Linked DNA regions of Saccharomyces cerevisiae S288C. The gene in region 2 interacts genetically with the main gene of each other region. Each region holds a gene or a part of one and is shown on either strand. Other genes may lie near its edges.

What was found.
Region 1: mutations in FBP1 (region 2) and TRP4 together harm fitness more than expected from each alone (negative genetic interaction), as found in Saccharomyces cerevisiae (one large-scale study listed by BioGRID).
Region 3: mutations in FBP1 (region 2) and DAL2 together harm fitness more than expected from each alone (negative genetic interaction), as found in Saccharomyces cerevisiae (one large-scale study listed by BioGRID).
Region 4: mutations in FBP1 (region 2) and FMS1 together harm fitness less than expected from each alone (positive genetic interaction), as found in Saccharomyces cerevisiae (one large-scale study listed by BioGRID).

Annotation. Positions count from the first base shown.
Region 1 is NC_001136.10:1,178,266-1,186,389, forward strand, and holds TRP4 (anthranilate phosphoribosyltransferase), read left to right. Parts: upstream 1-6,481; coding exon 6,482-7,624; downstream 7,625-8,124. Other genes in the region: SBE2 (Sbe2p), read left to right, coding at 401-2,995; YPQ2 (Ypq2p), read left to right, coding at 3,536-4,489; thioredoxin-disulfide reductase TRR1, read left to right, coding at 5,034-5,993; SPC110 (Spc110p), read left to right, coding at 7,842-8,124. UniProt on the Saccharomyces cerevisiae protein: Catalyzes the transfer of the phosphoribosyl group of 5-phosphorylribose-1-pyrophosphate (PRPP) to anthranilate to yield N-(5'-phosphoribosyl)-anthranilate (PRA), the second step in tryptophan biosynthesis.
Region 2 is NC_001144.5:873,246-876,498, reverse strand, and holds FBP1 (fructose 1,6-bisphosphate 1-phosphatase), read left to right. Parts: upstream 1-1,706; coding exon 1,707-2,753; downstream 2,754-3,253. Other genes in the region: translocon subunit SEC61, read left to right, coding at 1-763; PSY3 (Psy3p), read left to right, coding at 2,945-3,253.
Region 3 is NC_001141.2:406,396-414,287, forward strand, and holds DAL2 (allantoicase), read left to right. Parts: upstream 1-4,411; coding exon 4,412-5,443; downstream 5,444-7,892. Other genes in the region: DAL1 (allantoinase), read right to left, coding at 1-1,247; DAL4 (allantoin permease), read left to right, coding at 2,073-3,980; DCG1 (Dcg1p), read right to left, coding at 5,641-6,375; malate synthase DAL7, read right to left, coding at 6,620-7,892. UniProt on the Saccharomyces cerevisiae protein: Utilization of purines as secondary nitrogen sources, when primary sources are limiting.
Region 4 is NC_001145.3:309,102-317,403, forward strand, and holds FMS1 (polyamine oxidase), read left to right. Parts: upstream 1-6,275; coding exon 6,276-7,802; downstream 7,803-8,302. Other genes in the region: PEX9 (Pex9p), read left to right, coding at 1,107-2,651; STB4 (Stb4p), read left to right, coding at 3,055-5,904; MAC1 (Mac1p), read right to left, coding at 8,064-8,302. UniProt on the Saccharomyces cerevisiae protein: Involved in the production of beta-alanine, a precursor of pantothenic acid. Multicopy suppressor of fenpropimorph resistance.

The DNA.
Region 1 (8,124 bases), on a different chromosome or scaffold from region 2:
CATGTAATTCCTTTTTCCCTTTTATGCAATCTATAATGTTAATCAGCGTAGATCACTATATACGCTTTTTTTTTTTTTTTTCAGCTCCGATTAGAGAGCAAAAGAGATGTAACATCGATCCTGCTATAATTAGAATACAAGTGTTGATCTTTAATTGTACTGTTTCTGCGAAAGCTATCGAGCATTTGGCTGTATTCCACTGTCCATTGTATTTTTAACTCTCCTTTTTATCATTCTGAAACATAGAGCTGTTTTGACAAAATTCAGTTTTTTCTCAATTAGTGCTTTCATTCATACGTTCGTTACAAGCTTTGAATTTTAACTTTATTTTCGGGCTTCCACCTTTGCTTCATTATTTTACTTCAGCTCTTTAGCTTTCTGTGACATTCAATTTTATTGTATGACAGCACGTCGTTTGATTAATATAGTTCCTAATACGTCTAAGCTAGACCCTTTAAAGGAGGAGGACTCAACGCATCTGAAACAAAATCAACCTAAGAAGTTTTCCACAAAGGAGTTGATGCTTTCAGAATATACCGAACGCAAAAGTTGCAGCCTTCCGTTGTCTAAATCCCGATCAGGCAGTAGTGCATCCAGTAGCACTACAGGTTCGAACGGAAAGAATATTGGAACAAGACGCCCTAGCTCCAACCTAGATTTCAATTTCGCTAGCCAAGATGTTGTTAAAAATGTATTAGGTAATAATAATCCACACGTACCCACAGCGAAGTGCATTAGGCCAATATCAGATGATTCTATAGGTACATCGAGCACAGAGATATTTTCTTCATCGCACTCAAATACGACATCTGATTCTTTATGTACATCAGATATAAGCTCAGAAGAGGGTGAAATAGCAAACAGTAAGATGGAGGATAACTGCTTCTTCAAAAGTATGAGAGAAGCTGACCATAGAAGCAATATTACGCCCTTAAAGAAAAGCCGACCGGGATCAATACTACAGAAAACACGTACAGCAAGTAGCGCTGATAAAACAATCTGCTCAATGAGTACCATAACTACATGCATTCCATCTCGTCAAAATTCGGTGTCAACTCCTAAACTCTCCAGGACAGTAGGGCTGCCTGGATCGAGCAATACAACCAACAGTATAGCCGCATCACAAACTTCATTCATAAGCGAGAATGACTCTCCTCTTAAACATCATTGCATGAGTACCGCAACTATCCAAGAACCAAAACTCATGCCGATCACAAAAACGCCGTATGTGCATTCCAATAGTACTTCTGTAATATTACCATATAAAACAACCCAACTTACTCCTTCTCAACGTTACCGTTTAAGGAAAGAGCAAAATGACCAATCTTTGCGTAAAGCCATAAAAATGAAAGAAAAATTTTATGAAGATCAAGACGTTAACTTGGAACTTCAAGAGGGCGATGTCGACGGCTCGTTAATTTGGAACATTCCAATGGCATCTTTATCGACCAGTTCTTTTTTAACATTATCTAAGTTTAATAGAAAAGAAATGAGTTTAGATTCAGCGCGGGGGGATGAAGAGATATTAATACAGGAGAACAATTGCGAAGGCAAACAACACTCATCTTCGGCTCTCTGTGTGGACAAAACTTTCCATCAGGTTCATAGTACTAGAAAACATACATCAAATTCAAGTAACACTTTAAAAGAATCATGTCTGGACTATAAGGAGCTTCCGCCAACATGCATTCCTGGTATATCTCCTGTGTCTGATTCACAGTACATCCAGGATACAATGAAAAATCTCTCCCAAATATACCTGCATAGTTCCGAAAAAATCTCCAAAAGTATTCTTTCTGGTCGTTCAAGATCTGTACAGAGTTTACCACTGGAATTTAAAGAAGCCAGTAGTCAGGGAATGGAAGACCTAATGCTAGTTTCAGAGGACAAACTAAAGGCCGTAAGTCATTTCCGTCCGAGTTGGCTCCCGCCCAAGGATTTCAAAGAGAGGAAATTGCAAGATAAACAAATCTACAAAAATATCGACTTAGCATCAATGGAAGAGTTGCAAAAAAATAAAGAACGTGACGAAAAAGCCAAAAAGAATGAGCAGAATAAGGTCAAATTCCAGCATTTACTGGACCGAGGCATTACTCGTAACTCGTCATTAAGTGAATTAAAGAAAATTATTTGGGAAACACCTTTGATATCTAAAGTACGGCTTCAAATATATAGTCAACTTCTACAAAGTGACAATTGCTTGATAACAAAATGTTTTATTGAATCATTTGAGGAAGTAATGCAGCTACTCAACAAAATGGATTTTCCCAAAGATAAAGAATTTGAAATAAGACAGCTTATTGAACACGATGTACAGGAAAAGGTTTTTTATAAAAATGGAACAGATAAGCAAGTGGTTTCTGACTTGATGCTATTACTGCAACTGAAATCTATATCTCAACAAGGTTTGGTTACTGGTGATGAGATGCTATTCTACCATTTTTTAACTGATCAATCTTTTGGGACTTTGAAGGAAACATGGGAAATGGTCAACTTGATACAGATGACGTGCTTCAGTGAAATTTGCAAGGAAAAATACGATTCAAGAATATTAAATCCCAGAGGAATTGTTGCCCATCTTTTACGAAAAGATGAGTTCAAAAATGAATTCAATGGCGGATGTTTGAATAGCAATACATGGTGGAACATATTGCAAAGAATGGACCATAAACTTTTTATGTGGGTAATGGATGTAATTATCGTTCATAATGGCCAAAACTTTGCAAACTACCCCGTAAAAATGGAAATATTCAAAGACAAAGTATGGGAATACTATAGATCTAAGAAGGTTATTGTAAATTATAAGATTTTGGTTTCACTAACAGTTAACGTATTGTTAAACTACCACTTCGGATATGATAATCTGAAACATTTATCAGATTTGGATGATAAGCATTTTTGTATTCCACTGTATACGGAGGATAGTATCGAAGAGGAAAACCTCAATAATATTTTCACAAAGTGGTGGTTGCACTACTACCGAAAATTACGTTAGCGTGTATGTGGCACGTACTAAAAGTTTGGTGACCAGACTATCTCTTCTTAAGTTCATTTTCACTCTGAAACTTATAAATGCATACATACAGAAATTACTTTCGATTAATATAATAATATATTTTTAATAAACAATGAACTAATGCCCTTATTGTGTTTTGTTATTAACCTTTTCATCACCATTTTTTTTTGCTAGCTTCTACGGCATTCACTTACGTGCTGCAAAATTTCGCAGCATGGAAGAAATTGTTCGCGAAGAAAAAAGATTTCGCTCAGTGATTTGTAGTGACAATAGGTACCAGTGTTATCACTAAGTATATCTTTTAGTATATCTCTTCGCTTGAGGAGGGATCAAAAAAAAACAAACGTAAACGTGCACATAAACGTCAAGTACTTTTTGCAGGCATTAATATTCGTCTCCAACAAAGACAAATAAAGAAGCAATCTTTTCATTACCTTAAGCCAGTATCTATTGATATCAATCGATAAGGTTCGTTGTTATCGGTGCTAAAAATTATAAAGTGAAAATAAGAATCTTTTCATGTCGTGCTCAAACGGCATCTGGCCTACTGTATCTAATTTGTGCGGATCATTATCCTTCTTCACCTCTGTTATTTCATTGTTTCCACAAATAATTGAGACTTATCGAGATAAATCTGTCGATGGGCTATCGCCATATTTTTTGCTGGCTTGGTTATGTGGGGATATTACCTCGCTGATAGGGGCAAAGCTAACAGGGCAATTGTTATTTCAGATACTTTTAGCAATTTATTTTCTATTGAATGATTCTTTTGTATGTGGTCAATATTATTACTATGGCGTGCTGCATGAAAATAAATTGGCGACTGTCGGCCATGAGCCTAAACCTCTTCTTCCCGAACTGGTTGAAAATGGTGAGCTTTTGAGGGAGGAAGAGGACATGATACAAGGTGGTAGCAGTGCAGAAAGCCCTAGAAGCAGTAGAAGAAGGTCTGCCATTACAGCAGCCTTGGCTATAGCTCATACTATAAGTACAGCTAGCGCATATCCGCTAAATGTAGGCTCCACCCAATCACAAGTGGGGCCTCCCGGAGATGGTAAAAACAGCCAGCTGGGTACAATTTTATCTTGGATTGGCGCTTCCTTCTACGTAGGCGCACGTATCCCACAACTAATCAAGAATTACAATAGAAAGTCTACAGACGGCTTATCTCCCTTCCTATTTGCTACTACACTACTCTGCAATATCACGTATAATTTGAGCATCTTCACAAGCTGTAGATTTTTAGATAATCAGAACAAGAGGGAATTCATCGTGAATGAGTTGCCCTTTATATTTGGAAGTGCTGGAACAATTGCGTTTGATTTGATATACTTCTACCAATACTATATCCTTTATGCAACTGATATGCAACTACGTGAACTGGAAAGAGAACTATACAGTCCTGAAGAAGACAGTGCAGCGCAACTAGTGACAGAACGTACATCACTGTTGTCTGGTGAAACGCAAACATAGTTTTCCCTACGGAGTACTACCATTTATATTTAAACAATGCACTCTGCTCTTGGGATAGTCCTTGCGAGACCCTTTTTTCCCAATAGGAATACTACGTTCGTACTCTGTGTAAAAGTACCCAACTATAGTTAGCGCCAGTTTTACGTAAAACCGTCTATGTCTTGTTTGCATTCGCAACAGCTACAAACACATATAGTTTGTCACACTAATATTAATAATGAAAGTTATTATGTATTCACTGTGAACGCTTCAGTATACAGTACGGCAGTAAGTGTTTCATTCTGTTCTGGATTAATAATCTTTCACTTTGCCTAGCCATTTGGGGGCGGGTTTTGGCTGGGTTAGCTTCTCCTTAGTCATGGAGAAAAAAAATCGCCCGCAAGTATCTCGAAAAAGGAAAAAATGCCCACGCGTATAAGAGTGGACCCAACTGCTCGAGGTTTCAAGAGCTTGTAGATTAATTTCTGTAGTTCAGTTATACTTGCCTACAAGTGCTATACAGCAAATAGCGAACAGTACGAAAGTAAACATCATATTATCAATAATGGTTCACAACAAAGTTACTATCATTGGTTCAGGTCCAGCTGCACACACCGCCGCCATCTATTTGGCCAGGGCAGAAATCAAGCCAATCCTATATGAAGGTATGATGGCGAACGGTATTGCTGCCGGTGGCCAGCTAACCACCACTACAGAAATCGAAAACTTCCCAGGTTTCCCAGATGGTCTAACAGGTAGCGAACTGATGGACAGAATGAGAGAACAATCCACGAAGTTTGGCACTGAAATTATCACGGAAACAGTTTCCAAAGTTGATCTGTCTTCCAAACCATTCAAGCTATGGACCGAATTTAACGAAGACGCAGAACCTGTGACGACTGACGCTATAATCTTGGCCACAGGCGCTTCTGCTAAGAGAATGCATTTGCCGGGCGAGGAAACCTACTGGCAAAAAGGTATTTCTGCCTGTGCCGTGTGTGATGGTGCCGTCCCCATTTTCAGAAACAAGCCATTGGCCGTCATTGGTGGTGGTGACTCTGCATGTGAAGAAGCTCAGTTCTTGACCAAGTACGGCTCAAAAGTGTTTATGCTTGTCAGAAAAGACCATTTGCGTGCTTCTACCATTATGCAAAAGCGTGCTGAGAAGAACGAAAAAATTGAAATCCTTTACAACACTGTTGCGCTAGAAGCTAAGGGGGATGGTAAATTATTGAATGCCTTGAGGATTAAGAACACTAAAAAGAATGAAGAAACCGATTTGCCAGTCAGCGGTTTATTTTATGCAATTGGCCACACTCCAGCAACAAAGATTGTCGCTGGCCAAGTCGACACTGATGAAGCGGGCTACATTAAAACTGTCCCAGGCAGCTCATTAACCTCCGTTCCAGGATTTTTCGCTGCTGGTGATGTTCAGGATTCTAAATACAGACAAGCTATTACTTCTGCTGGCTCTGGTTGTATGGCCGCTTTGGATGCTGAGAAATACTTAACTTCCCTAGAATAGATGAATTTTCCATTATAAAATAGATACACTCAAATTTTTGTATACTTATCCAACAAATCGTTACTTTCTCCTTTTCTTTAATAAAAAGCAAACCATGAATTTTATTTCTTTTCCCCATTATTAGAGAAAGCCAATACATAATCTACATATATTGCGTGTCTGAATTAAACTTTTTAGACACATGACATAGGCCATCGGCTTACTTTGTAACGCGTGGTTGCCTATACACCGACTATTAAGTTATGACTAATATTATTGCTGCGCTTCCCCACCTGCATTTTTCTTGTCGTCTTTGCCAAAAGGAAAAAAAAACCTACGCAGATTGACTCTCTAAAAAATGATTCATGACCAGACAATTCAGTAAACATAAACTCTGTTGCATTCATTCTTCTGGAAAACTTTATAATAAAGCATCTGATATTACAGCTACTGACAACTAAGTGAATTTAAACTGCAATAATCACAAGAAAACTTAGTATTCCCTTATCATGTCCGAGGCGACTTTGCTATCTTACACCAAGAAATTATTGGCTTCTCCGCCGCAATTGAGTAGCACAGACCTACACGATGCGTTGCTGGTTATATTAAGTCTTTTGCAAAAATGTGATACAAATAGCGATGAGAGTCTTTCCATCTATACCAAAGTTTCGAGTTTTCTCACGGCCTTGAGAGTTACTAAACTTGATCACAAGGCTGAATACATTGCGGAAGCTGCAAAGGCTGTGCTCAGACATTCCGACCTTGTTGATCTACCTTTACCCAAGAAGGACGAATTACACCCGGAAGATGGACCAGTAATCTTAGATATTGTAGGTACTGGTGGTGACGGACAGAATACTTTTAATGTTTCCACGTCTGCTGCTATCGTTGCCTCCGGAATTCAGGGCCTAAAAATTTGTAAGCACGGTGGTAAAGCTTCTACATCCAATAGTGGAGCTGGTGACCTAATTGGAACTTTAGGCTGTGACATGTTCAAGGTTAATTCATCGACAGTGCCCAAACTTTGGCCTGATAATACGTTCATGTTTCTACTTGCTCCTTTTTTTCATCATGGAATGGGCCACGTTTCTAAGATACGCAAATTTCTTGGAATTCCGACTGTTTTCAACGTACTGGGACCACTTCTACATCCAGTTAGCCACGTAAACAAGAGAATATTGGGCGTTTACTCAAAGGAACTTGCGCCTGAATATGCCAAGGCAGCCGCTTTGGTATATCCAGGAAGCGAAACTTTTATAGTTTGGGGACATGTTGGGTTAGACGAAGTATCACCTATAGGCAAAACTACTGTCTGGCATATTGATCCGACATCGTCCGAACTTAAATTGAAGACCTTCCAATTAGAACCTTCTATGTTTGGTTTAGAAGAACACGAGTTGTCGAAGTGTGCTTCATACGGCCCTAAAGAGAATGCGAGAATTCTAAAAGAAGAAGTCTTGTCCGGCAAGTACCACCTTGGCGACAATAATCCTATTTATGACTACATCTTGATGAACACCGCCGTGTTATATTGTTTAAGCCAAGGTCACCAGAACTGGAAGGAAGGGATCATTAAGGCAGAAGAAAGCATACATTCTGGTAATGCATTACGTTCTTTAGAACACTTTATAGATAGTGTGAGCTCCTTGTAGACATTATTTCATATGTTATACTTAAACTAGATAGAGACGTTTTATTTGTACTAAGCTGAACATTACCCTAATTACGCGTTATAAGTTTTAATCCTTCATTTTGAAGGAAAACAAATAAACAAAAAGTTGATGTGGAACAAATACAATGTGCGCGGATATCTTAAGCAACTTCGTTAGTTACAGTCCACACAAAGCGAAAAAGGGCTGATAAACACTCATGGACGAAGCGTCACATCTCCCAAATGGGAGCTTGAAGAACATGGAATTTACGCCTGTAGGATTTATCAAATCCAAGCGAAACACCACGCAAACACAAGTTGTATCGCCTACTAAGGTTCCAAATGCCAATAATGGTGATGAGAACGAAGGCCCTGTTAAGAAAAGGCAGAGAAGAAGCATTGATGATACAATTGACTCCACAAGGCTATTTAGTGAAGCTTCACAATTCGATGACAGCTTTCCAGAAATTAAGGCTAACATTCCGCCTAGTCCAAGGTCAG
Region 2 (3,253 bases):
CAAGAAAAGAGCCCTTGTCGAGGCCTTTTACCGTACCAATCTACCTAATATGTTCCAAGTGTTGATGACCGTGGCCATCTTCCTCTTTGTTTTATATTTACAAGGCTTCCGTTACGAATTGCCCATCAGGTCAACCAAAGTGAGAGGTCAAATTGGTATCTACCCCATCAAACTCTTTTATACTTCCAACACCCCAATCATGTTGCAGAGTGCATTGACTTCTAACATTTTCTTGATCTCTCAAATCCTTTTCCAGAAATACCCAACCAATCCATTGATTCGTTTGATCGGTGTTTGGGGTATCAGGCCGGGCACCCAGGGCCCTCAAATGGCCTTGAGCGGGTTGGCCTACTACATCCAACCATTAATGTCTTTATCCGAAGCTCTTCTGGACCCTATCAAGACCATCGTCTACATCACATTTGTTCTTGGTTCATGCGCAGTATTTTCCAAGACATGGATCGAAATCTCCGGCACTTCCCCACGTGACATTGCCAAACAATTCAAAGATCAAGGCATGGTCATTAACGGTAAGAGAGAAACCTCCATTTACAGAGAATTGAAGAAGATCATTCCAACTGCTGCTGCTTTCGGCGGTGCTACCATCGGTGCTCTTTCTGTTGGCTCCGACCTACTAGGTACTTTAGGTTCTGGGGCATCCATTTTGATGGCTACTACCACCATCTACGGCTACTACGAAGCTGCCGCCAAGGAAGGTGGGTTTACTAAGAACCTCGTTCCAGGATTTTCTGATTTGATGTGAATATAAAATGAAAATAATATCCAAAGAAAAAAAAAATCGCATTTAGCCACACCCCTCCCTCTATTTTTTTATTTTGTTACCATAGTTTTATCAACGCCTTCTTACACCTGTATAGAGCTAAATAACTATATATATGTATGCGCAAATAATTCCTAGAAAATCGTCGATTTTTATAAATTCTAACCGCCGATTAACAATATCATACGCGATCTAAATTTATAATAGGCGTGAAGCAAAGGAAGTTGATAAAAAAAAAGTAAAGAACTCCTCATAGGGGGCTCGAACCCCTGACATTTCGGTATCCTTGCTTAAGCAAATGCGCTTAAAAGCCGAACGCTCTACCAACTGAGCTAACAAGGATGAGTTCTTCGAATTTTCCAGTCTAAGATAGACAACCCATCAAACTGCATGGTCCCGGGCTAACTTCTGCTCTCTTTTCCGGACGGATGGAATCGCCGCTTTTGAATTCACCTCCGGGGTATTATTATTATTCTTAGTAGTCGCGGTCGTGCGGACACCCGGAGTTATGCGGGCCCGAAAGCTCATTATGTAGTAAAGCTAGGTAATGTTAAGGGCGTAAGAGCCAACGCAAGGCAGCAATAGCCTGGTATTCCCACATATCAAGAAAGCTTAAAAAGTTGAGACAGGGAATTTGAAGGCGAAGATTGCCGAACTGGCCAATACCCACTACTTTTTTTTTGGTTTGCTTGGTTTCTTCCTGTCGCTTGCCAACTTGTGGCATCTTCCCCACACTATATTATAAGGATCGTCCTATGTATAGGCAATATTATCCATTTCACTCGCTAACAAATGTACGTATATATATGGAGCAACAAGTAGTGCAATTACAGACGTGTATTTTGTCTTGATCTTGCTTTTTGTATGATAGGCCTAAGAATAACAGTGCGAACATATAAGAAACATCCCTCATACTACCACACATATGCCAACTCTAGTAAATGGACCAAGAAGAGACTCTACCGAAGGGTTTGATACCGATATCATCACTCTTCCTAGATTCATAATCGAGCACCAGAAGCAATTTAAGAACGCTACTGGTGATTTCACATTAGTACTGAATGCCTTGCAATTCGCGTTCAAATTTGTATCTCACACCATCAGACGTGCTGAATTGGTTAACTTGGTTGGGTTAGCAGGCGCTTCCAACTTCACTGGTGACCAGCAAAAGAAGTTGGACGTTCTAGGTGATGAAATATTTATCAATGCCATGAGGGCTAGTGGGATCATCAAGGTCCTTGTATCTGAAGAACAGGAAGACTTGATCGTTTTTCCCACAAACACGGGCTCATACGCAGTGTGTTGTGATCCTATTGATGGCTCCTCAAATTTGGACGCCGGTGTCTCCGTTGGAACTATCGCGTCTATATTCAGACTGCTACCAGACTCATCAGGTACTATAAACGACGTACTGAGATGTGGTAAAGAAATGGTAGCCGCTTGCTATGCCATGTACGGATCCTCTACGCATCTAGTATTGACATTGGGTGATGGAGTTGATGGGTTTACCTTAGACACAAACTTGGGCGAATTCATCTTGACTCATCCTAACTTAAGAATTCCGCCTCAAAAGGCCATCTACTCAATTAATGAAGGTAACACCCTCTACTGGAACGAGACTATAAGAACATTTATTGAGAAAGTCAAACAACCCCAAGCAGACAACAACAACAAGCCTTTCTCGGCTAGGTATGTTGGATCCATGGTTGCTGATGTTCACAGGACGTTTCTTTACGGTGGCCTTTTCGCATACCCTTGCGACAAGAAGAGCCCCAACGGAAAACTGAGGTTGCTTTATGAGGCCTTCCCAATGGCTTTCTTAATGGAACAAGCAGGGGGAAAAGCGGTCAACGATCGCGGAGAGAGAATCTTGGATTTGGTGCCAAGTCATATCCATGACAAATCTTCTATTTGGTTGGGTTCTTCAGGTGAAATTGACAAATTTTTAGACCATATTGGCAAGTCACAGTAGTTCAATGATCGCCTTCTTTTCTTATTTTCTTTGTTCTGTACTTTAGTACGCGAAAAAAAAAAATCTGTATATGTCCTTATATATATATATATTTATATATATATATGTGTATGTATGTGTACCGTAAGCATTACTCCTTCTAATAATGAAAATTCTTAGGAAAAGAGAAAGGAAGTAGCGAATGGAATGGGATGGAAGTTTTAAAGAACATTAGAATTTATCCTTTGTCAAACTTCATCACATCAACCAAGAACTATATAAACCTACCAAATGAATTAAGAAACCTAATTAGTGAAGAGCAGGAGAGTAAACTAGGGTTCTTGCACATCATTGAAAGTGATTTTAAACCTTCGGTAGCGCTGCAAAAGTTGGTGAATTGTACTACGGGGGACGAAAAGATCCTAATCATAGATATAGTATCAATATGGTCCCAACAAAAGCAAAGACAGCATGGCGCGATCTACATGAATTCGCTATCTTGCATAAACATCACGGGATTA
Region 3 (7,892 bases), on a different chromosome or scaffold from region 2:
TTGTTTTTGAAGTAGACACTTGAATTACTTATTTTATGTTTACTTGCAGTATCAAATACCACCAAATCAGCATCGTACCCGGGAGCTATAGTGCCTTTTTGGTGAGATAGTCCTACCTGATGGGATGTATTTTTACAGCACCATGTAACGATATCGACCAAAGAGCAGCCTTGGGTAAACATCAATGGCAAACCTAGTCCGACGGAAGCGATTCCTCCCCAAGAATCGAAAAAGTCACCTTTTTGCAAGTTCTTCAACTCAGGGGTGCATGGCGAATGGTCGCTCACTACTGAGCCTATAACACCTTCACGCAAAGCGTCCCATAGGCCTTGGCGATTAGACTCAGAGCGGATGGGTGGACAACATTTAAAGTAGGTGGCTCCGTCTGGGATCTGCTCTGCAGCAATACACAAATAGTGGAAACAAGTCTCTGTTGTGACTGGTAGCCCTGACGCACGTGCCTTTCTGATCAAGGGAATTGCTTTCATTGATGCCAGATGAACTATATGTACAGGAGGAACTGGTCCATTTCTGGCTCTCAAGCATTCGAGAATCAAATTGATGGCGTCTATTTCGAAAGAATCCGGCCTCGAGGACAAAAACGAAGAATATTCACGATGGCTTTGCTCGGGTTGCTGTTGGTCCTCATGTGCCTTGGGCAACTCAGCATGAAACATCATCATGGTATCCTCCTCGGCTAAGACCTTCAAGGCTTCTTCTATATATTCTTTGCCAATTGGAGGGAATTCTTCCACACCAGAATCAAGCAAGAATCCTTTGAACCCGCGAACGCCAGCTTTGACAAGCGGAATTAAGTCTGGCAAGTTGTGTGGTACCAGTCCACCCCAAAACCCAACATCGCACCACATTTGGCCCTCAGCAGCTTCCAATTTAATTCGGAAATTCTCCACATTTGTTGTGGGAGGAATAGCATTTAGCGGCATATCAACCACCGTTGTGACCCCGCCACTAATAGCAGCTTGAGTTCCAGTTTCGAATCCTTCCCAGCTAGTCCTACCGGGCTCGTTCAAGTGAACATGAGAGTCCACAAGTCCAGGCAGAATTGTACATGGAGATACGTTCTCCAGCGTATGTATTTCATATTTGGTTATCTCAGTTTTCTCCATAACCACGGAGCCTTCTAAAACATCCAGAATCGTGCCTGATTCGGTCGAATACACAATAGTCGCAGGTTTATTTGCACCATTGATAATGACATGGTCGGAAGTGATGGCATTGATAGGCATCTTTGTTCTTCGCAGTATTTCACTTTTTTTTTGCCTATACGTTTTTGCGAAATATACACTTTTCTAACCTAATTAAAGATAGCTAAAAGAAAAAGGGGTACCTTCAATTACAAGATACCAGTAGAAACTCATCACTTTTGCGTTACCTCATCATTGTCCCCTTCGATGAGATATGCCTCCTCTATATAGATAATTAAGCACCGCAATTTTGAACCACTTCTCCTGATAAAGTTCCATCAGTCCACCATCAACACATTTGCGCCTATTCGATGATCCGCAGTAAGGGACAATAGAATCGAAACATGCAGTTCCTTTCTTTCCTGCAATTCTCGGGTCTAATGTGGCTCGAGGGTATCTCTTATCGGTATTACTTTCTTATCAATGAAAAATTTCTGCCAGGGAAAATGCGCCCGCTTTTTTTCCGGCCATCCTTACTCGCTGTCGCATACAAAATAGCGCCTCTAATCTAGTTGCGATAAGGAATGTGTATGTGTAATTGAAGATCCAGGATGTTTTCCTTTTCAGGGAGATGAGAAGGAATAATAGGATGGATTGACCGCTTTGCTGTCACGTCGATAAGGTTCCTTTAAAAATTGTGTCCAATGATTAGCATAGAGAGGTAGAGTATCAGAGAAACAAGTTTGTAATCGAGAAACTTGATCTGCTAGTGTTGAGCATAGAAGGCTAGGAAAACATGGGGAAGAAAAAAAAAGTATAAATAATTAGCTTGATGAGTAGTTTGAATATATATGTTACTTTAGTTTCCCTTTTTGACCTTTTATATTCATCTACATCTTGTGATATAAAACATCAACAAAGACGAGAATGGCTAACGACGCTCTAAGTGCTATTTTCAGTAATCCTTCGAGGAAAGGTGTCCAACCCTCCACATCTATTGTGTCATATACAAACAATGAAGATGATATTATAGATGTGGAAAATGGGAAGTTCAACAAGAACAAGAATATCAACACTAATGTGTATGTGGACAACTCCTCAATAGAGGAGAGCGAAGTCGTGCCCTTGCCCGAAACAAAGTCCATCTGGAGTAAAATATACTACGATTTCATTGTGTTAGACAAGACAACTTTGAATGTTTCGTTGAAAGAGTCGTTCTTGTATAACAGAGACTTGAAACCGGTTGAAGAAGAAAGAAGGTGTTGGTCCTGGTTCAATTACTTATATTTCTGGCTGGCAGACTGTTTCAATATTAACACATGGCAAATAGCTGGTACAGGTCTACAACTAGGTCTGAATTGGTGGCAATGTTGGCTTACAGTTTGGATCGGCTACACTTTTGCAGGTATCTTCGTAGTATTGAACTCGAGATTTGGTTCCGCATATCACTTATCTTTCCCTATTACTGTTAGGGCCTCATTTGGTATATTCTTTTCTATGTGGCCGATTATAAATCGTGTCGTGATGGCTATAGTATGGTATGCCGTGCAAGCCTGGTTAGGTGCAACGCCCGTGGCACTGATGCTAAAATCTATTTTTGGCAAGAATCTGGAAGATAGAATCCCAAACCATTTTGGTTCTCCAAATAGCACTACTTTTGAATTCATGTGTTTCTTTATATTTTGGGTGGTCAGTATACCATTTGTCCTAGTGGCTCCTCATAAAATCAGGCATTTATTCACAGTAAAAGCAGCTTTGATCCCCTTCGCAGCCTTTGGATTTTTAATCTGGGCTTTGAAGAAATCGCACGGTAAAATTGAGTTGGGGACGCTGAATGATTATTCACCTCATGGTTCCGAATTTTCATGGATATTCGTTAGATCCCTAATGGCCTGTGTTGCTAACTTTGCCGCTTTGATTATCAACGCCCCTGACTTCGGTAGATTTGCCAAAAATCCTCAAGCGTCTTTGTGGCCACAATTGGTTGCCATCCCATTGTTCTTCGCCATAACATGTTTGATCGGTATCATTGTTACTGCGGCCGGTTATCACTTATATGGGGTTAACTATTGGTCACCACTGGATGTACTTGGTCAATTTTTGGAGACCACTTACACCAGAGGTACTAGGGCTGGTGTGTTCTTGATTTCTTTTGTATTTGCCTTAGCTCAACTGGGTACAAACATTTCTGCCAACTCTCTGGCATGTGGTGCTGATATGACGGCTTTGTTTCCAAGATATATTAATATTAGAAGAGGTTCTTTATTCTGTGTGGCAATGGCTCTATGTATCTGTCCATGGAACTTAATGGCCAGTTCAAGTAAGTTCACCAGCGCTTTGGGTGCTTATGCAATTTTCCTTTCCAGTATTGCTGGTGTCATTTGCGCGGATTATTTCGTAGTAAGAAGAGGATATGTGAAATTAACACATTTATTCCTGGCACAGAAGGGTTCCTTTTACATGTTTGGAAACAAATTTGGTGCCAATTGGAGGGCCTTTGTTGCGTATATTTGCGGTATCGCTCCAAATTTACCAGGTTTTATAGGTGATGTTGGAGCTCCAAAAATTACGGTTTCAGAGGGTGCAATGAGGTTATACTATTTAGGTTATCCGGTAGGTTTCTTTATTAGTGCGGTGATATACCTCATATTATGTTACTTTTTTCCTGTCCCTGGTACTCCCGTAACCAATTTTCTGACAGAGAAAGGATGGTTCCAAAGATGGGCTTATGTTGAGGACTTCGAGCAAGATTGGAAGAATGAGTTACGTAGGGATGACCTCTGCGATGACACAGTCAGTATCTATGATGGCACCGAGGAAAAGATAGTTTACTAAATAAAAATCCCAATTTATTCTCTTACCAGTAGTGATCAGGAGAATTGATAATTTCTTCAAAACACCTTAATATTCGTTCTGTGTATTTTTATGTACCTTTCTTAATCAAATTTATCAGCTTCATACATGCATTCCCGTCTGAATAATGTACTGATGATTAGCTAAACCGTCATCAACCTACCAAACTTGCGCTTGTTTGAGCCTATCAGAACTCCGGATAATTCCGACATCTTATCTTTGACTCGAATTAGCGATAAGATAAAAACACAGGAACCACAATGAAATTCAGCTGGAAGAAAAGTCTAAATTATAGACACATTTTCTGAGATCAAATGCTATAAAGGAATGGAAGTGCATTTTGCTATGATATGGGGAAATTATGAAGCCGATCAAACAATTAATTGTATCTAATCGGTCTCTTCTTTAGAAAAATGAAGTTTTTTAGTTTGGCAGATGAGGCAGAATTTAAGTCAATAATCATTTCAAAAAACAAAGCAGTAGATGTTATAGGATCTAAGTTAGGTGGTCAAGTGGTTTCTTTTTCAGATGAATGGTTTGCTTCTGCTGAAAATTTAATTCAGCCAACTGCTCCTATAAGGGATCCTACCAGATTTGTTCATTCAGGCGCATGGTACGACGGCTGGGAAACACGAAGACATAATGAGATGGAATACGATTGGGTTATCATCAAGATGGGAGTCGCTGCTGCCCATATTATTGGTGGTGAAATTGACACTGCGTTTTTCAATGGTAATCATGCACCATTTGTATCAATAGAGGCGCTCTATGACGAGGGCGAAGAAGGTAATATAGTGGAAGATGACTCGCGTTGGGTTGAGATTGTTGAGAAATTTGAGTGTGGTCCTTCGCAAAGGCATCTTTTCGTTAGAGGCAACGGCCTTACTAAAGAAAGGTTTACTCACATCAAGCTGAAGATGTACCCCGATGGAGGAATCGCCAGATTTAGATTATACGGAAGAGTTGTTCCTCCAGAACTCAAAACGAAGGATCATATAATTGACTTGGCTTATGTTTGCAATGGTGCTGTCGCTTTAAAGTATTCTGACCAACACTTCGGTTCAGTTGATAATTTGCTACTGCCAGGTCGAGGTCATGATATGTCGGACGGCTGGGAAACCAAAAGATCGAGACAACCAGGTCATACTGATTGGGCGGTAATTCAACTGGGCAGGGAGTCTTCTTTCATTGAGAAGATTATTGTTGATACGGCACACTTCAGGGGGAACTTCCCTCAGTTCATTACCGTGGAAGGTTGCTTGAAGGAGTCAGAATCAAGTGAGAACACTGGTGAAGGAACATGGGTAGAGCTAGTTGGTAAGTCAAAGACGGGGCCTGACAAAGAACATGTGTATGAAATACGTAAGAGTATAAGAGTCTCCCATGTCAAATTAACGATTATTCCAGATGGAGGAGTGAAAAGAATAAGAGTTTGGGGGTACTGATAAATACTTAACTACTGTATATTTTAAACCAATGCACTCTTGGCACTTTAAAAGTAAAGGTATAAATGTAGTTAAAAGTTTTTGTTTTGATAATTGAATGTTTTCATTTCGCTATCCCCACGCTACTTTATTTACTTCTTCTTCTTCACGACAAAACATTAAAATTTACACTCTATAAAAAACAATCATATTTCTATTTATTTTTGTGAGTTGACAAATCTTATCATAGTGATTAGAATCTGTAAACCGATCTCAATCGTGTCCAGAAACAGCGTGCCATCCCTTTGGAATGTTTTCGCCAGTTTATTTTGCAAACCCGAGAATCCTGCACAACCTAATATTACAATGTCTGAATCAAGCTTTTTAATATTTTCGCGATATATAATTTCTGCTATCTGCTGGAAATTTTCTGGACTATGTAGGTCGAGGACCTGTAAATCAGTAGATACCGTACCTTTCCATAAATTTTTGTTAACTGTATTCCCTGTCAAGAATTTCGATTCCACAGAGTTATTCAATATTGGAATCCATTCTTTATTTGAAGTAATAATAGAGAACTTCTTTCCAACCAAATTGCAATAATTAATACTACTATCTAATAACCCAACAATAGAAACATCTGCTTTTTCTTTAGCAGCTCTATCCTTTATCTTTGCTACCAAAGGATGATCTGAAAAACAGGCAATTAATATCCCGTTGAATTTCTGAAAGTAATATACCGACTCCTGGTCATCAATTAAGAGGGGAAGACAGGCCTCCATACTTTTAATACTTGTTTCCTGCCCATCAATTTGTGGTGGCGACGTGTCTGGCCCTGTGAAATAACTGATTTTACATGATTCCATTGAAAAAGTCTTTTCAATGGTTTCCCGCAAGGACACCGTCATTGACTTCGAACTATTAGGATTCACAACAAGTATTCTTGTTTCCATCGTTCGATAATTTGCTTAGCTAGTTTTTCTTTGTTCTTTTGATTTTCCTGAGGTAAGAATTAGTAATTCAGTTTCCTTACATATTCTCGCTTCAAAGGCTTAAATATGATCTGGCATGGAGAAAAAATATGAGTTCAATTTGTCATACCTTATCAGGCCTTATCAGCTCAAATTTGATTGGATTATGCGTTAAAACAGCGCCTAAAATTCTTCGAATATTCGTCAGGTTATGTACGTATACATTCTATAATTTACTTAAGTCAACTGGTTTGGCACTTGGCTTAATAATTTCATCATACAATAAAGTGGTCAAGAAGTCGCTAAAGATTTTACCAGTGACTTCAGGCAAAAAATACTTGGCTGCCAAGGCAAACTTGTTCTTTTCACCCAGCGGACTTGCTGAAGCCAATTTTGCAGTCTCTTCATTTAATATCTTAGCGGTCAATTCTGGAGTTACTTTGTCACCGGTATCACTTAAGACAACACCATGTTTAACCCACTGGTACAATTGACAACGTGATACTTCCGCAGTAGCGGCATCTTCCATCAAATGATTAATTGGGACACAACCAGATCCCCTTAACCAAGCCTCCATATATTGTAGGCCAATATCCAAGTTTACTCTGATTCCCTCAGTAGTGACTTGAGCATCTTGAATCTTCGTATTCAATAAATCAGATGATGTAACATGTACATCCGGGACAAAATATATTTGATTTGCTGTACCCATGTTACTGAAAACTTCATTACAAATCGGTGCCAATGCTGGGTGTGCTACCCATGACCCATCATGCCCATTCTTCATTTCTCTAATTTTGTCATTACGAACTTTGTTCATTGCAGCTTCATTAGCCTTTGGATCATCTTTTATGGGGATTTGGGCAGCCATACCACCCATCGCATGGACCCCTCTACGGTGACATGTATTGATCAATCTTTTCACATAAGCATCCATAAAAGGTGAAGTCATAGTCACTAGATCCCTATTTGGCAAAACGTGTTCAGGCAAGTTTCTCAGTTTTTTAATGGTCGAAAATATGTAGTCCCAACGACCACAGTTCAAACCGCTTGAATGTTCTCTTATTTGATAGATAATCTCCTCCATTTGGAAGGCCGCTGGCAAAGTTTCAATCAGAACAGTGGCCCTAATGGTACCGCGGGGCATTCCAATAAAATCTTGTGCAACACAGAATATGTCATTCCATAGTTTTACCTCCATATGGTGCTCCATCTTTGGTAAGTAAAAATAAGGTCCTTTACCAATTTTAACTAACTCTTTAGCGTTATGGTAAAAATATAAACCAAAATCGAAGATGGAAGCACTAATCGGTTCATCATCTATGTAAAGGTGCTTCTCCACCATGTGCCAGCCACGAGGTCTGACAATTAAAGTGGGCAGTCTTGAAATGTCATCCTTCAACCTGTACTCCTTTCTTGGTGTCTTGAAATCGATTTGATTTCTAATGGCATCATAAAGATTAACTTGTCCGTAAATCATGTTCTCCCAAGTTGGAGAT
Region 4 (8,302 bases), on a different chromosome or scaffold from region 2:
AAAGATTTTAGTTACAAAACGATATCAAAGTTCAATCTTGTTGGGAAAAAGGAAAACATTATGAAGGGTTTCCGGTAATCACTGCGTATGCCACACTATTCCTATAGAATTGTCTTGATTGGGTGCTTATGCTGCGGAAAAATTATATTCTGCGCTTGCCTTTTATATTAAGCGTCACAACGCCCTTACCAAGATCGAGCGGATTAAGACAAGAGTGTATCTCAAGCGTCCGTATATGTTTAAGTTGAAAAGGATATTTAGTAAGAATAATTCTACCCTACAAACGATATTAGTAAAAAAAAAAATCAATAATAGAGTTATTGTACAAACATGTTCTGAAAATTGGAAGCATCACATCGTATGCTACTAGAGAAAATTTTTACTATCCTTTTTTCCACAAGCCCAGCCCTAGCCCGATCATCCTATTAATTGTCAGACCACCGAATGCTATCCCGCCACGGTTGATATAACGAAACTCTTTACTGCTTTGGGTCAAATATGCCTCTTTTCCGCATTTTTTCGGAGTAGTTCATTGCCGCATACATACCGCAACTTGGACGAGGATGTCCTCCTTCTCTTACTTTTTTATTCGTTTCCAATTTGTTTCTCGTACCGTTCAAGTTTCAAGCCTACAAGAAATGTACACGACATGGATGCGTCAGCCTGATTCAGATATGACAAGATTGTTCCTGCGCATATGTGAATATGAGCGCACGCAATACATTGAGATCTTATTTGGGTTTGTAAGTGCAAACTTAATTTACTTTGCTTCCTGCCGGTTTTGATGTGCACCTGGGAACTTAAATAGCCGCCAAAAGAAAAGCAATCAGAGCGGCGCGGCGCAGACAAAACCCGAAGAGTTTCCTGGGAACGGTAGAGGCCTTGGTAGTACCTTACTAACGCCGGAGAGGATGATTGATACGCATTGAAATCGTACAGAAAACTTGGGGCAAAGCGCTCTTACCCCAATATTCTCACCCAAACAGTGGCAATAAATAAAGAAAAGGTCATCACTTTTTTTCGTACTCTTATCCGTTTTATTTTATTTTATTCTTTTTTTTTGAGTGGAGAATCATTAAGAATAAAGGGTACCTTTTGTAAGCACGATGAACGAAGTTACTTGTTCCATAACTGGTGACAACCCAATTCATAAGATCAACAATGGATTAGGCTTGAAATGGAATAATCTGGGTAAATTCTCTGATTTTCAGACTAACGATAGCGCCGCGCGAGATGCTAGAACAATAGATTACATCTTTACCAATTGTCAAACCGGCAGCAGTATTGGTAAGATAGATTTTCGGGCCGCACTACCGGCAGATAAATCTCAACATAGTGGTGTCAGCGAAAAAGAATTTTCAAGACTTGAGAACCAGTGGTCAAAGGAATTCTCTTGTTTCCCCAAGAATAAAAATGCTGATGTGACCAAGCCCAGTAGAAACAAACATGAGAAACGCTCCGCTAATTTGCACAATAGGTACTTTGCACAATATTATAGTACGGCATATCAGCAAAATCGTATATATCCTTGTCGAATATCTTACAATGAACACTCATCTGTTTCTAATGGCTGGGAATTTCAGTTCAAATCAATCGAAAATCAGTTACTAAATGAGCTAAAGATAGAAAACAATGTAGAAGAAAAAACTGTTGGTTATGAATATGTGGCAGAATACGAAGAAACAATTGATTTCATGCATATGCTGTCATCCGTACCACAAACATATCAATTCCTAAAATCAAACATCTACATAACGGAACGGGACCCATATAAAATAGGATGTGTACTAATGGACAACGGTTCCAATTTGAACGAAGTAGTAATGGCCTTTGAAGCAGCCATTTCACAAGATCCAAGCCATATAAATGCATGGTTGAAGTTAGGTATAGTTAATTTTGAAAATGAAAGCGAAAGCAATGGAGAGCTTGCTTTGCGAAATTGCTTAAATTTGGATCCAAATAATACAATTGCATTGGAAAACTTAGCAATTCACCATATAAATCAACAAAATGAATCAGAGTCATTGAAACTTTTTCACAAATGGATTCTTTCAAAATTTTCGAAGGTTTTCCAACCTTCTGCGGGGGAAAACAAAGATAGCATTAATAAAATTCCGAAAAAGGCCCATTTGGCGCATATTCTAGAATCCCTGTTGAATATGGGTATAGAAAAAAAAGATCAGTATGATATATATTCAGTATTATCAATCTTATATTATTCGGATCAGAAAATAAAGCAATCTCAGAAATGCTTAGAGTTTTTACTACTGGAAAAGCCCAATAATGGAACAATATGGAATAGATATGGTGCTATTTTGGCCAATACTAAGTCGTATCACTCTGCGATAAATGCGTACAATAAATGCAAACAACTAAGACCGAATTTTACAAGGGTTCGTTATAATTTAGCGATCGCCTACATGAATAAGGGTGACTATGTAAAAGCAAGCAAAATGCTAATCGAAGTTATACTGTTACGAAGTAAAGGATATGAACACAACAAAGCAAAAATGCAAAACAAATTTATGCAAAATTTAAAAAATGCTCTCATCGCTTCAAAAAATTTTGATTCACTTGATCTAATAAATGGTTCTCATAATACAGAATCGTTAATATCAACCTTAAAAGCTATTTATAACAAAATGGATTAGGTTTTAGTTAATTTTTTTGCTATATAGTGCATTCAAAATAAAAAAAATTAAAGCTGAAACAAACCAAATATGCTATTGGACGTTCGAAAAGCTAATTGCGTAAAGGAACACTAAACACAGCAAGCTTATGCTAGTTCTTCTCAAAAATATAAGTTCCTCTTGCAAGAATATGAAGGTAATTTCACTTTATCGCGCAAGTGCATATTTCTGAGTTTACTATGTGCTTCGTCTGAAACCTCTCATTATCTACTTAATATCGGCTATTCATCTCACGTATTCACGTAATATTTGATTTTTGTACTACTATTTCTCTCTGTCATACGTGCATGATACATTTCCTTGTTCAAATTAAAAGAGTCACCGTCAGCCTCTCAAAACAAAGAAAAAAGATACCCGGCTGAACATGAGTATCAATCATGAAATATATTATATACTTGTATTTGAGCATCGTTCAGTAGCAATCAAGCTCATCATCGTAGTGATTGTTCTCCTTCAGTTTTTTTTAGCACGAAGTCGGCAAATTGATAGGACATGGGCCCATACTAATAGAAAGGAACGGTTCAGAGAAATGACAGCTATCGGGAATACTGATGATGCACTTGATACTAGTACAGCCGCAAGTAAAGAAAATGGAAAAGGTAGACTCAGGGTTCAAAAAGCTTGTGAACTTTGCAAGAAGAGAAAGGTTAAATGCGACGGTAACAATCCTTGTCTGAACTGCTCTAAACATCAAAAAGAATGCCGTTATGATTTCAAAGCTACAAACCGTAAAAGAAGAAGACGACAGGTCGCATCAGCTGTTCGGGACGTTAGTAAGACATATGCAGAAACCAGTGAGTCTTTTCCTAGGGACTTGTTAAGTAAATCAAATATTATCATAAATGCCCCCTCAGATGGTGTATCTTCGTCTGCTAGCAACTCTCCCAATCCAAATTCACATTATCATCATATATCATCCACTTTACCCTTCATGAGCGGTAGGCCAAACCATACATTCCATTCCGGAAGCAACTTAAATGGAGAAAATAACAATAACAGTTTTCCGGAGGATCACATGGCTAAATTACTTCTGCAATTGAGTTCAAAATTGGGGAATACGACCAAGGAATCGTCAATTAGAACAACTAGAACCAATGCTAGTGATGTGAATGCAAACCCGACAGTGGTCAACATGAAAAATAGTCAGGAAGACTGTGACACGAATCACAGGTCTGCAATATGTGACTCTGCAGAGGCTCTTCATAATAACAACATCAATTCTAAAGAGAATAAGATAATCAACTCTCAAATAACTAACACTGTTAATGATCACTTTGAATCACCCTGGCAGACATTTTCTTTAGATAAGTATAGGTTTCACCGACGCTACCAAAATATTCTGCCCTATTACCTTGGTGTATCTATTTTAAAGGATCTATCTCCGCAGACAATAGAGTACGCGAAGTTGAAAAGGCCAAGAGTTCAAAACTATGGTTGGAACTTGTCAGGAGGCCATTACTTAAAGTATAAGGGTGACTTTAGAAGCCAAGAAAAAAATATAAGGCATGAGTCTAAATTTTTCGACTTTGATGACCCTGTTCACTTATCCTTAATCAATAAGTTACTAAGGTATTATTTTGATGAGATCAATCCTGTTTTCAGTATCATTCACGAAGCGACATTTTGGCAGCAATATAACAATAAATTTCTACGGCAAGGTAAACAAAATAATTCATCTGCGAATCTATTCACTTCCATGCTTTATCTAATTTTGTCTACTACACTAAGATTCAGAGAAGGGCATCTAGATGGTCAGAAAGGGCAAGGAACCTACAGTAACACATCCTTAAATATCACATTCGAGGAAAAATCTATTTTGATCAAAAAACCCTCCATAGAGGAAAATTTATTCAAATACGCTTATTTAATAATCAACACGCTGACCTTTGAGTGGGAATCATTCGAACTAATACAATCGTGGCTTTTGATAACCTTCTATTTCAGAACCTGTTACAGACAGACGGCGTGCTGGAACGCGTTAAGTCAAGCGGTGAACATGTGTAATGGGATGAGTCTATATTTAAACAAATTTCCTGAGATCCATTCCACTTATGATGAATCAAAAGCATGGCATTGTTTCTGGTGTTGTTTTATAATGGATAAGTTGATAAGTTTTCAAATGGGTCGATTCTACCAACTATCATTACCCGCGAGCGAGATGTGCGAACAGATGAATCTAGTGAAGTCAAAGAAATTTTTACAAGAAGAAGATGATTGGTTTCACGAAGAGACTTTTCAAATGCTTGATTTGTCCATAATAGTGACACAGTTTTTAAAAAGAGACGCACAGGATTTAAATTTGAACGAGACCGTGCAATTGCGCAGCCAACTTGGTCAATGGTATGACACCTTTATAGTTGGAAGTCAAACCAATGCGTACGACGACAATTATCGTTACTTCTATCAAGTTCAACCATTCATGACATACCTGGATATAAGGCTGACTTTCGAAGTAAGACAATTATTTTGTCTAATCGCCCCCTCATCTACCGCAAATAATAAATCCCTAGAATATGTCGTCGATACTGAATTGTTAATTTCTCATTGTCAAATGGCTATTGAAAATTTGGCTGAAATTACGAGAAGTAATCTTTTCTTTGTTCCGTGGTGGTTAAACCTTTCTCAACTATTCACGGTAAATTTAATATGTATTATCTACCTGCACGCAGGGATTGCCGTAACTCAAAATAAAGCTATCATGCAAAGCTGCCAAGAAATATGGCGAACCTTAGAGTGCTCTAAGCCAAAAAATCGGCCTTCAATGCTTCCTGAGTGCTTGTGGTGTTTGAAAATGCTGAATCATATGTTCTGCATACGACTGAGAGATTCTGCTTTGCAATTGGAAGCTACTCTCGGAACTGATCATGGTGATGACACCCCTAATAGAAATAAGTTTGAGCAGTTCAAGAAAGTTGGCGATAATGATGCGGATGTTGAAGTTGATGCTGGTGAAAGAGAAGAAAATGCTGATGAAAGACAAGAAAATCCACATAACAATAGCAAAAGAGTACCATTAGCTACTAGGTCTCATAATACCACTAACTTCGACGGTTCAATCGCAATTTCTCCGGAAAGTGCAGTAGCAAATCTAGGTACTGATACTGGATTGCCCTCAGATGTTCTTGATACTGTCAGTAAAATAGGGAACTCTCCTAATGTGTTTGATGATGATTTATTTTCCAATTTATTATGGTTTGACCAAAATTTTGCATAAGGATTCTTTTTCTATTCCATAAAACCATTTTATGGACACGTTTACCTACATATTATTATATTGTATATAAGATGTTGAAAAAATTGAGTCAACCTCACCTTACCACATGTTGGTCCGTTGCTATGACAAACTCTCGTTTTACAAGAAGGAGGCTCAAATTTCGGGTCACCCACCCATATACGGATGTCACGCTATGAGATCTTTTAAACAATAGACAATTTTTGGTATCCTAAAGATATAAAAGAGGAGTTTTTTTAAACCATGGTAACTATTTTCAAATTTGCTCTGCTGCAGTTTTTTATTTCTGTTTTTCTTTTTTTGTTCCCAACAAGAAGTGAGTTAATAAAGGCAAAAACAGTGGTCGTGTGAGAATGAATACAGTTTCACCAGCCAAAAAAAAGGTTATTATAATTGGTGCCGGTATTGCTGGGCTTAAAGCTGCATCTACGCTACACCAAAACGGTATTCAAGATTGTCTTGTTCTTGAGGCCAGAGATCGGGTCGGTGGTAGGTTGCAAACTGTCACAGGCTATCAAGGTCGGAAATATGATATAGGTGCTAGCTGGCACCATGATACGTTGACAAACCCTTTATTTTTGGAAGAGGCTCAACTGAGTTTGAATGATGGGAGAACGAGGTTTGTTTTTGATGACGATAATTTTATTTATATCGACGAAGAACGTGGAAGGGTAGACCATGACAAGGAACTGCTTCTTGAAATTGTGGACAATGAAATGAGCAAATTCGCAGAGTTAGAATTCCATCAACACTTAGGAGTTTCAGATTGCTCCTTTTTTCAATTAGTAATGAAATACTTACTACAAAGACGCCAATTTCTCACAAATGACCAAATAAGATATTTGCCACAACTCTGTCGATATCTGGAATTGTGGCACGGCTTAGATTGGAAGCTTTTGAGTGCCAAGGATACATACTTCGGTCACCAAGGAAGGAACGCCTTTGCTTTGAACTATGATTCTGTGGTTCAAAGAATTGCTCAAAGCTTTCCTCAAAATTGGTTAAAGCTAAGTTGTGAAGTGAAATCAATTACACGAGAACCTTCAAAAAATGTGACAGTGAACTGTGAAGATGGTACTGTGTACAATGCTGATTATGTTATTATTACAGTACCTCAAAGTGTATTGAATTTGTCTGTACAACCTGAAAAAAATTTACGGGGAAGAATAGAATTTCAACCACCCTTGAAACCAGTGATTCAAGATGCTTTTGACAAGATCCATTTTGGAGCGCTAGGTAAAGTAATTTTTGAGTTTGAAGAATGTTGTTGGTCGAACGAAAGTTCAAAAATTGTAACTTTGGCTAACTCTACCAATGAATTTGTCGAAATAGTACGTAATGCGGAAAATTTAGATGAATTAGACTCTATGCTAGAAAGGGAAGATTCTCAAAAGCATACGAGTGTTACTTGTTGGAGCCAGCCTTTATTTTTCGTAAATTTGTCAAAAAGCACAGGAGTAGCAAGCTTTATGATGTTGATGCAGGCACCGCTTACAAATCACATAGAATCCATTAGAGAAGATAAAGAGCGTCTTTTTAGTTTTTTCCAACCTGTGCTGAACAAGATTATGAAGTGTCTAGATTCTGAGGATGTCATCGACGGAATGAGGCCGATAGAAAACATTGCAAACGCTAATAAACCAGTCTTAAGAAACATCATCGTTAGCAACTGGACACGCGATCCTTACTCACGCGGTGCTTATTCGGCCTGTTTTCCAGGAGATGATCCAGTTGATATGGTTGTTGCAATGTCTAATGGTCAAGACTCCCGCATAAGATTTGCAGGCGAACATACTATCATGGACGGCGCCGGCTGTGCCTATGGTGCTTGGGAAAGCGGAAGACGGGAGGCGACTCGAATCTCTGACTTACTGAAATAGAATCTATTTTTTCGAAATTACTTACACTTTTGACGGCTAGAAAAGGATATACATACATATTAAAATTTTTAGTAACACTCTGTGCTTTTTCAAAAATTTGAGGTACACCTAATTCTCCCACTTGTTGCTTATACCAAGTTTGAACAATTTTAATGTTAAGCACAATAGATTGGAATATTATCATATGGTGGTTCAGAGAGTAGTAGGGTGCATTTTCATTCCTGTTGCCTCAATGTGTTTTCTATCTGTATTTACGTGATTTTATGAAGTGGTGGCATCGCTTAGATGTGGTGCATAATTAGAGACTAATTTTTGAAACCACGCATGAATGTCAAGTAATTCTAACTGAGCATCTGTCATCAATGGCACTTGCAACTTCAAAAAATCCCACCAATATTTTGACGGCACCAATTTACCTTTGAATTTTATTTGAGTTTTCCTTGTTAATCTTGCATTCAGAATTCCATAGAAAAAGAATTTTTCAAATGGAATTATATTTG